Linked DNA regions of Macaca fascicularis. The protein of the gene in region 3 interacts with the protein of the main gene of each other region in a pairwise test. Links are inferred from orthologs where the notes say so. Each region holds a gene or a part of one and is shown on either strand. Other genes may lie near its edges.

Region 1 (3,324 bases), on a different chromosome or scaffold from region 3:
AGAAGTTGCAGTGTTCCGAGATTGTGCCACTGCACTCCAGCCTGGGCAACAAAGTGAGACTCTGTCTCTAAATAAATAACTGAGATGTAAGTGTATTTCACCATCGAATATTTTTTATTTGTTTTGAGAGACAGACTCTGTCACCCAGGCTGGGCTGCTGTGGCATGATCATAGCTCACAGAAGCCTTGAACTCTTGGTGTCAAGCAATCCTCCTGCCTCAGCCTCCCAAGTAGCTGGGACTACACACTTGCACAAGCACACTTGGCTGATCTTTTAATTCTAAGGGCATTATTAAAATGTTTGTTCTTCCTTATCTGAGAATTGAAGTATGTCAGAAGCAAGACTTTTCTTTCCATTTCATTATAGTAGAAATGCACAAATTAGGAGGTATGTTTTAGACATTACATGTGTTGATGTGACGCAAAAGCTCTAATGAGCTGCCTTACCCTGGAACGTTTTTCTTAGCTTGGATTTGCTTTGTTGGAGGGATTAAGAAAAGACTTGGCCAGGAGCGGTGATTCATGCCTGTAATCTCAGCACTTTGGGAGGCTGAGGCAGGTGGATCATGAGGCCAGGAGATGGAGACCATCCTGGCTAACATGGTGAAATCCCATCTCTAGTAAAAATACAAAAAAAAATTAGCTGAGCGTGGTGGCAGGCACCTGTAGTCCCAGCTACTTGGGAGGCTGAGGCAGGAGAATGGCGTAAACCTGGGAGGCAGAACTTGGCAGTGAGCCGAGATCTCACCTTAAAGACTTGAGGCCAGAAAAAAACAAGTCTACGGAGTTTTCATTAGGCCATTTAACTGCTAGTTGAAAACTGGGATATCCAGTTTACATAGCATATAGCTTATTCCTCTAATTTTTATTTGGGTCCTTAATAAAATAGACCAGCTGTCTTGAAGTTTGAACATTCCTTCTGTTTCACAATCTGTTCTCAAATGGACATTTGATTGCACATTCTAAGTATTCATTTACCTGGCAAAAATTTCAGGTGAGCTTAACAATACTGTCAGCTTTTTGTATAACATTTATAAAAGAAGTGAATTCAGAACATTGCTCATTCAAAACTCAGCATTAATACAATCTATGGAGTAGATGTTTATTAAATGACCCTCAAATGTAGTATTTAGTAATTATTTTTCTACCATTCATAATAGTTAATCACTGTATCCTATAACTTATTGTGATGTGATTTTTGCTGCTCAGCCTCCCGAGTAGTGGGGATTACAGGTGCCTGCTACCGCATTTGGCTGATGTTTGTATTTTTAGTAGAGACGGGGTTTCACCATCTTGGCCAGGCTGGTCTCAAACTCCTGACCTCGTGAGCCACCACGCCCGGCAAGGCCAACAGTTTATTAAGAAGATAAACAGATATGAACAAGTATAGATTAATAGAAAATAGCCTTAACTGTCTCACATCTTTCCTGTCTTAATTTGATCAAAAATTGCTAGGAAGCAAAAAAAAAAAAGCAAAAACCAAACCAGATTACTTAGGGAGTCCTAAGTAATCTAAGTAGTAACAGAGCTTGAGGGGAATTTAAACAGAGGCATTTTTATTTCATTTAAATCTTACTGTCAACTATTCTTAACAGGCTAAAGGTTGGTCTTCAGGTTGTGGCAGTCAAGGCTCCAGGGTTTGGTGACAATAGAAAGAACCAGCTTAAAGATATGGCTATTGCTACTGGTGGTGCAGTAAGTAAAATAAATGCGATAATGGTTTGCTGAATGTTTATACTTGTCTGAAATTTATAGATAGTTTAACATTTTTCACAATTAGATACTACAGCTATCTGTTTCTGTTGGCTCTTTGGAAGGTAGGGGTTGGATTAAATTCCCTTTAATTAGCTACGAGGCCACGAGTCTGGCCTAAGAATGGGCTTTTATTGACTATTCTATATTCACTAAATCTTACTGACTGAATAAGGGGTTTCTTTTTTTTTTTTTTTTTTTTTTTTTTTGAGACAGGGTGTCTTGATCTGTCACCCAGGCTGGAATGCAGTGGCACAATCTTGGCTCACTGCAACCTGCGCCTCCCGGGTTCAAGCAATCCTCCTGTCTCAGCCTCCCAAGTAGCTGGGACTACAGGTGCAGTACCATGCCCAGCTAATTTTTTTACTTTTAGTAATGGTGGGTCTCACTATGTTGCCTAGGCTTCTCAAACTCCTGGACTCAAGCAATATGCCTGCCTCTGCCTCCCAAAGTCCTGGGATCTGTTTTCAGTTTTGAAAGATAAAAGTGTGTGCTACAAATGATGTAGGACTTGAGAGTCAAGGCCTATGGTCTTGTCCTGGCTCTACCAGTAAGTGTGACCTTGGATGTTTTTTTCTCAAGTAAGGCTAATAATAATTACCAGAGTTGGGAGAATTGAGAAGTTGGAAATGCAATGGAAGACTATACTCAAGTCTTGTTCTGGACTAACAATGATCTTACAGTCTCTCATTTCAAAGAATATTTCAAGATGATTCTCTTGCCTGGTATATTAATAAACTTGGTATAATGGTAGAAACTGTAACCTACAGCTGGTTTACGTTTAACTCATTTTGTAGGTGTTTGGAGAAGAGGGGTTGACCATAAATGTTGAAGACGTTCAGCCTCATGACTTAGGAAAAGTTGGAGAGGTCATTGTGACCAAAGATGATGCCATGCTCTTAAAAGGAAAGGGTGACAAGGTTAAAATTGAAAAACGTATTCAAGAAATCATTGAGCAGTTAGATGTCACAACTAGTGAATATGAAAAGGAAAAACTGAATGAACGGCTAGCAAAACTTTCAGATGGAGTAGCTGTGCTGAAGGTAAGATTCATTATTATGAATAAGTTTTTTGGGTTCTGAGTCCAAGAATGATTGTCCTTCTGTAGTATTCCCCAGTAGTACCATGGAACTAAACAAATATTTGAGGAATTAATAGTGGAATTTTGTTTTGTTTTGTGGGTTTTGTTTTTTTTTTTTTTTTTTTTTTGAGACAGAGTCTTGCTCTGTCGCTCAGGCTGGAGTGCAGTGGCTGGATCTCAGCTCACTGCAAGCTCCGCCTCCCGGGTTTACGCCATTCTCCTGCCTCAGCCTCCTGAGTAGCTGGGACTACAGGCGCCCGCCACCACGCCTGGCTGGTTTTTGTGTAATTTTTTTTAGTAGAGATGGGGTTTCACCGTGTTAGCCAGGATGGTCTCAATCTCCTGACCTCATGATCCGCCCGTCTCGGCCTCCCAAAGTGCTGGGATTACAGGCTTGAGCCACTGCGCCCGGCCTTGTTTTGTTTTAAGCCCTCCGTCACCTAGGCTGGGATGCAGTGGTGCAATCTTGGCTCGCTGCAACTTCCGCCTCC
Region 2 (2,364 bases), on a different chromosome or scaffold from region 3:
GACCCAAGAAAGGTTTAGAATCACTGTTTTAAGAGATTCTTATCCCATAAGGTATTTATATTGAATCTCAAAAAGCATTCACATCTCACATCCTCTGTGATAGGCTCCTAATTCATATTTATCAAGGTCCTAAATAAGTATCTAATTACTCTGCTGTGGGATGTTGTATATTTCTTCAGATCCGGGCTCGAAATCCAGCATTTCAGCCACAAACTTTGATGGACTTTGGCTCGGGTACTGGTTCTGTCACCTGGTGAGTAACTTTTTTCAGCCCTGTCTTGGTCAATTTTAGCTCTAGAAAGCCATACTTACACCACTCAAAAATTAAGAGACTGGAAAACCAGAGGGAGAATAGGCAAGTTGGGAATCTATAATGTTTCTTCCATCAGATTGGGCAAGGCAGAAGAAGGTATATGGATTGGGGCCAGAACTTAAAGAAATGTCAAGTGAAAAAAAGGCGCATGTTTAGAAAAATTAAAAAGAAAAGGAATTATCAATCAAAGTTTTTTTGCCTACAAATAGTATTTTGAGTCTACCTTTATTTTTCTCTTTTTGGAGATGGTGTCTCGCTCTGTCACCCAGGCTGGAGTGCAGTGACACGATCTCGGCTCACTGCAGCCTCCACTCCCGGGTTCAAGTGATTCTCCTGCCTCCGCCTCCCAAAGTGCTGGGATTACAAGCATGAGCCCCTGCACCCAGCTGAGTCTACCTTTTTTTAAAAACAATTGTAAATAAAACAAGAAAATAACACTATTAGTTATTTTATTACTAACTAGACAACTATTTTAACATAACACTCTCTTTTCCCAGGGGTGGGGTTGGGTGTAAATGGGTCTCTTGTAGAGATGACTCTTGGTCATGGGAATTGGTGATTTATAATAATTTTGCCATCTTAGGGCTGCTAACAGTATTTGGGGCCAGAGCCTACGTGAATATATGTGTGTGGACAAATCAACTGCCATGCTGGCTTTGGCAGAAAAACTACTGAAAGGTGAGTACAAGAGCATTTCCAAAGTTGAGGGAGTTCAGAAAGCAAAGGGGTACTAGTAAAAGTGTTTTACTGGGAAGTAGAGAAGAGGGTAAAAATTAAGATGAATCTGGTTTACTTTTAAAGTTATGGTCAAGCAAAGGGCGGTATTAGAGGTTTCTGCTGGACTGAGGATGGGTTGGGTAAGATTCAAAGGACAAGAGGCCTAATATTCTCCCTGCCGTTTTTTTTTTTTGTTTTGTTTTTTGTTTGTTTTTAATTAGAACCTGTTACCCAGGCTGGTCTCAAACTCCTGGCCTCAAGCCATCCTCCCACTTCATCCTCTGGGGTAGCTGGGATTACAGGCATGCACCACCATATCTGGCTCATCCCTGCCCTTTTTGATAGACACTTTCCCTATTCTTGGGGCCATGTTTCTTATCTGGATATCTCTTCAGTTTATACCTAACTTCCTACACACTCAAAGTTGCCTCTTCTTTTCTCCACAGGTGGTTCAGAATCTGGGGAGCCTTATATTCCAGGTGTCTTTTTCAGACAGTTTCTACCTGTATCACCCAAGGCAAGTGGCAGTGTTTAGAATATTCTAAATGTGGAATGTGGCAGATGGAAAACTATGGCTTGAGCTTTGCAGCCCAGCACTGAGTGTCAGAAGATAAAAGAAATTTATCAGCTAGGACTTTATTATATTCTTGGGATGCAGAGATGTTGAGTGTGTCATGTTCTTTGTCTTGGTCCTCAGGTGCAGTTTGATGTAGTAGTATCAGCCTTTTCCTTAAGTGAACTGCCCAGCAGGGCTGACCGCACTGAGGTGGTTCAAACCTTATGGCGTAAGACAGGTCATTTCCTGGTGAGTTAAAATTCCTTGTTCTCCTTAAGTCTTAAAGCAGCTTCATGGATTTCATGCCTTTGCTTCTCTCGTTGTCTTCATTCTTCACCATTTTTCTCCTTTATGGGTTTCTTTATCCCTCTTTGAGGGTCTCCATCCTGATATATAATGCGTATTTCTTTTTAGGACCCCTTTTCCATCTATAATGCTTTTACAGAGCTACTGACATTTACACTTTCATGTAATTTAAGTCTTCATATTTTTCCCTTTTGTGAATAGGTACTGGTGGAGAATGGAACAAAAGCTGGGCACAGACTTCTCATGGAAGCCAGGGATCTGGTCCTTAAGGTAAGGCTTCTTCCCTCACTCCCCCACGCATATGTCACTAATTACTGTTATTCTTTTGAAAACTAAAGAGACTGTCATATATTGACAAGGGTGACTCTCAGGAAACTGGGCATATAAAGTCATTATGAATCAGAGCAGTGGTTGGCAAATGAGAGCCTGTGGATCAAATCCGACCTGCCACCTGTTTTTATATAAGCCATGC
Region 3 (3,659 bases):
CTCCTAAAACAAACATCAGCGATAATTTTAGTTGTATCTACCACGTAGTTAAACTCTGTGATCAGAAAGACTAAAGCATAAATGAGGGAAAAGTTATGAGTGGGAGGAGGTGTCAAAAAAAAGGAGGAAAAAGTCAACAGTCAAAAAGAAAGATTTATTTGACTTTGAGAGCATCTTTCAGTATGATTCTGTTAGAGTCAGTTATCCAGATGGACAGGCTCCTTTTTATAGTTAGACCTTGTCCATTTGACAAGGAGCTGTCTGAAATATTGGCTCCAACTAGTCAGGTATGTTTTGCTTTTTTCGTGACCCTAGTCATTATGAAAGTGATACTTAGAAGTGACTCACCTTTTCTTTACTATTCAGTTATTATAGCCTAGTGTGCAGCTGTTTATTCTGAGCAGGGCGTGGTTTGGCTTATTAAATCTAAAACCTTAGAGTTGTTTGATTCACTGAAATTACAAGGTGTTTTTATTGTTGTTGGTTTTGTCCATTGAGGCCTACATGTGAGTATTCTGTATAATGCAACAATTTGTGCTTATTTACATACTTCTAGTCTATTACTAATTTTGCTAGAAACAATAAATGTGTTTTTTGGATATTGTATATACATAAACATTTATACTTAAAACTTTTGAAGAAAATGTTCTATTCTGAAAATGCAGGAAATTATGTCTGAGAGAATTTCTTCACTTTATATCTTAAAGTTGACCCTTTTCCCTCTCTTTGTAATTGTAGCAGGAGGAAGCAGAATGGGAAAGCATAAATGTGCTATTGATGATGCATGGCTTAAAACCTTTGTCTCTAGTCAAAAGAACAGATCTCAAAGGTAATTAGATCCTATTCTTGCTGCTTAAGTTAAAAAGAATTTTTCCTTAAAAATTTTTTTATCTTAGGGCCGGGCGCGGTGGCTCAAGCCTGTAATCCCAGCACTTTGGGAGGCCGAGACGGGCGGATCACGAGGTCAGGAGATCGAGACCATCCTGGCTAACACGGTGAAACCCCATCTCTACTAAAAAATACAAAAAACTAGCCGGGCGAAGTGGCGGGCGCCTGTGGTCCCAGCTACTCGGGAGGCTGAGGCAGGAGAATGGCGTAAACCCGGGAGGTGGAGCTTGCAGTGAGCTGAGATCCGGCCACTGCACTCCAGCCTGGGCGACAGAGCCAGACTCAGTCTCAAAAAAAAAAAAAAAAAAAAAAAAAAAAATTTATCTTAAATCTTTTGCCTTTTATTTTTACTATCTGTATTACATACTTTTTAAAATGTAGATCTCATCATTTTTGACAAGCAGTCATCACAAAGGATGAGACAGAATTTGAAATTGTTGGTGGAAGAAACATCACGTCAACAGAACATGATACAGGAGCTTATAGAAACTAATCAGCAGCTTAGGTAAGAAAATGGAAAATATTTCTTTTGAATTGTTTGTATGCATTCTAAAAATAACTGCATTGAAAACAATCTTGAAATTTAATTTCCCATTTTGATTAAATATTAAACTAAAAAATATTTTTGGCTGGGCGCGGTGGCTCAAGCCTGTAATCCCAGCACTTTGGGAGGCCGAGACGGGCGGATCACGAGGTCAGGAGATCGAGACCATCCTGGCTAACACGGTGAAACCCCGTCTCTACTAAAAAAAAAATACAAAACACTAGCCGGGCGAGGTGGCGGGCGCCTGTAGTCCCAGCTACGTGGGAGGCTGAGGCAGGAGAATGGCGTGAACCCGGGAGGCGGAGCTTACAGTGAGCTGAGATCCGGCCACTGCACTCCAGCCTGGGTCACAGAGCGAGACTCCGTCTCAAAAAAAAGAAAAAAAATATTTTTTTTTGTAGGTAAAATTTTAATAGGTAAATCTTTTGGTAATAGCTTAGCATGTATGTTTAATGGTACCCTATATTTCTTCTATTAGTTTCTGTTGCAGGATGAGCATCTCAAATCTGAAAATTTGAAAGGCTCCAAAATTTGAAACTTTTTGAGCACCAACATGATGCTTAAAGGAAATGCTTATTGGAGCATTTTGGATTTCGGATTTTCAGATTTGAGATACTTAACTAGTAAGTATGATGCAAATATTCCAAAGTCTGAAAAATCTGAAATATGAATCACTTCTGATTCCAAGCATTTTGGATAAAGAGAATGCAAAGAAACTTTAGAAAGTCAATATGTTGTTATATGGATATGTTTGGTAATTTGATTTATTTTTAATACTAAGGGAAGAAATTGTACGTCTTTTAACTTAGAAATGAACTTCAGCTAGAGCACAGCCGAGCAACCAATCAAGAACAACGAGCTAATGACTTGGAACAAATTATGGAGAGTGTGAAATCCAAAATTGGTGAATTGGAGGATGAATCACTAAATAGGGCTTGCCAGCAACAGAATAAAATAAAAGATCTTCAAAAGGAGCAGAAAACTTTACAGGTACTGAGTTATCAATTCCTAGATGATGGTTAGTTAGTACTAAAACAGCTCATTATGGCCCCAGGTGACTTCCATGTTGTTTGATTCAGTGGTTTTTACCTTTTCTGGCCTATCACTGCTACCTTGAAATTTTCTTCACTTGATTTCTAGAATGTCCTCTTTGTTTCCCTCTGACCTCACTGATCATTCTCTAATTTCTTTTGCTGTTTTTTTCCCCTCATCTCCCTAGCCTCTTAGTGTTGGAATTCCCCAGTGCTCAGTCTTTGGATCTTTTCTCTTTCCTATACACTTTGATTCCTTTGGTAATCTCAATCTAATATAGGATCCAAAATTTATATCTGTAGCCCTGTCCTCTCCCCGAATTCCAGACTCATATCCAGTTGCCTACTTGATATCTCTACTGGATATCTAATAGGCATCTACAACTTTATTTACTTTTTTGAGTCAGCGTCTGGCTCTGTCACCCAGGTTGGAGTGCAGTGGCGCAATCACAGCCCAGTGCAACCTCTGCCTCCTGCACTCAGGTGATCCTTCCACCTCAGCCTCTGGAGTAGCTGGGACTACAGGCATATGCCACCATGCCTGGCTAATTTTTATATTTTTTATAGAGACAGGCTTTTGCCATGTTACCTAGGCTGGTCTCAAACTCCTGAGCTCAAGTGATGCGCCTGCCTCGGCCTCCCAAAGTGCTGGGATTACAGGTGTGGGGCACTGCACCTGGCTGGCATCTACAACTTTTTATGTCTAAAACAGAAATGGCAATTTTATGACATTAAATAATTAAGCTTTCTAATTTTAAAAACTTAAAACGTGGGTGTTTATTGTGATTAAAGGAAATGAGTCTTGTGCTGGTAACTAATGTTTAGTTGTGTGAGATGTTTCTGATCTTTACCAACATTATATCATTATAAACATTAAGTTCTTATTTTAGTGGTTTTGCTGACACAACACTATATATATAACCTTTGCATATGTGAGTTCAGGCTATCTAAAAGGGAGCAGTATTCATCAGGCAGGGTCTGGAAGTCCCCTCAGTGTATGCTGGCAGTATTGGAAGGATCAGATGAGTTAGTATAAATTCCATGGAGTCCAAGAGAATTAACCAGAGATACTAGGGAGCTCTAGTATGAGGATAGAGGCAGTTGGTGCTCTGACCTTGTTTATGTGCCAGCTTGGGGCAGGCAGTACTAGAGCTGCTGATATTGATCATAGTTTCGGAGAAGACATTGTTTGACAA

Evidence for each region.
Region 1: the proteins of CEP70 (region 3) and HSPD1 interact in binary tests that used the Homo sapiens proteins (3 or more experiments, as listed by UniProt). The two-hybrid records come from large-scale screens. The link is inferred for Macaca fascicularis from reciprocal best matches to the Homo sapiens genes CEP70 and HSPD1.
Region 2: the proteins of CEP70 (region 3) and METTL17 interact in binary tests that used the Homo sapiens proteins (3 or more experiments, as listed by UniProt). The link is inferred for Macaca fascicularis from reciprocal best matches to the Homo sapiens genes CEP70 and METTL17.

What each region holds. Positions count from the first base shown.
Region 1 is NC_088386.1:93,105,822-93,109,145, reverse strand, and holds part of HSPD1 (60 kDa heat shock protein, mitochondrial), read left to right. Parts: intron 1-1,595; coding exon 1,596-1,695; intron 1,696-2,549; coding exon 2,550-2,795; intron 2,796-3,324. UniProt on the Homo sapiens protein: Chaperonin implicated in mitochondrial protein import and macromolecular assembly. Together with Hsp10, facilitates the correct folding of imported proteins.
Region 2 is NC_088381.1:88,659,310-88,661,673, forward strand, and holds part of METTL17 (ribosome assembly protein METTL17, mitochondrial), read left to right. Parts: intron 1-179; coding exon 180-253; intron 254-896; coding exon 897-991; intron 992-1,476; coding exon 1,477-1,547; intron 1,548-1,727; coding exon 1,728-1,835; intron 1,836-2,093; coding exon 2,094-2,162; intron 2,163-2,364. UniProt on the Homo sapiens protein: Mitochondrial ribosome (mitoribosome) assembly factor. Binds at the interface of the head and body domains of the mitochondrial small ribosomal subunit (mt-SSU), occluding the mRNA channel and preventing compaction of the head domain towards the body.
Region 3 is NC_088376.1:41,405,689-41,409,347, reverse strand, and holds part of CEP70 (centrosomal protein of 70 kDa), read left to right. Parts: intron 1-738; coding exon 739-829; intron 830-1,269; coding exon 1,270-1,393; intron 1,394-2,241; coding exon 2,242-2,422; intron 2,423-3,659.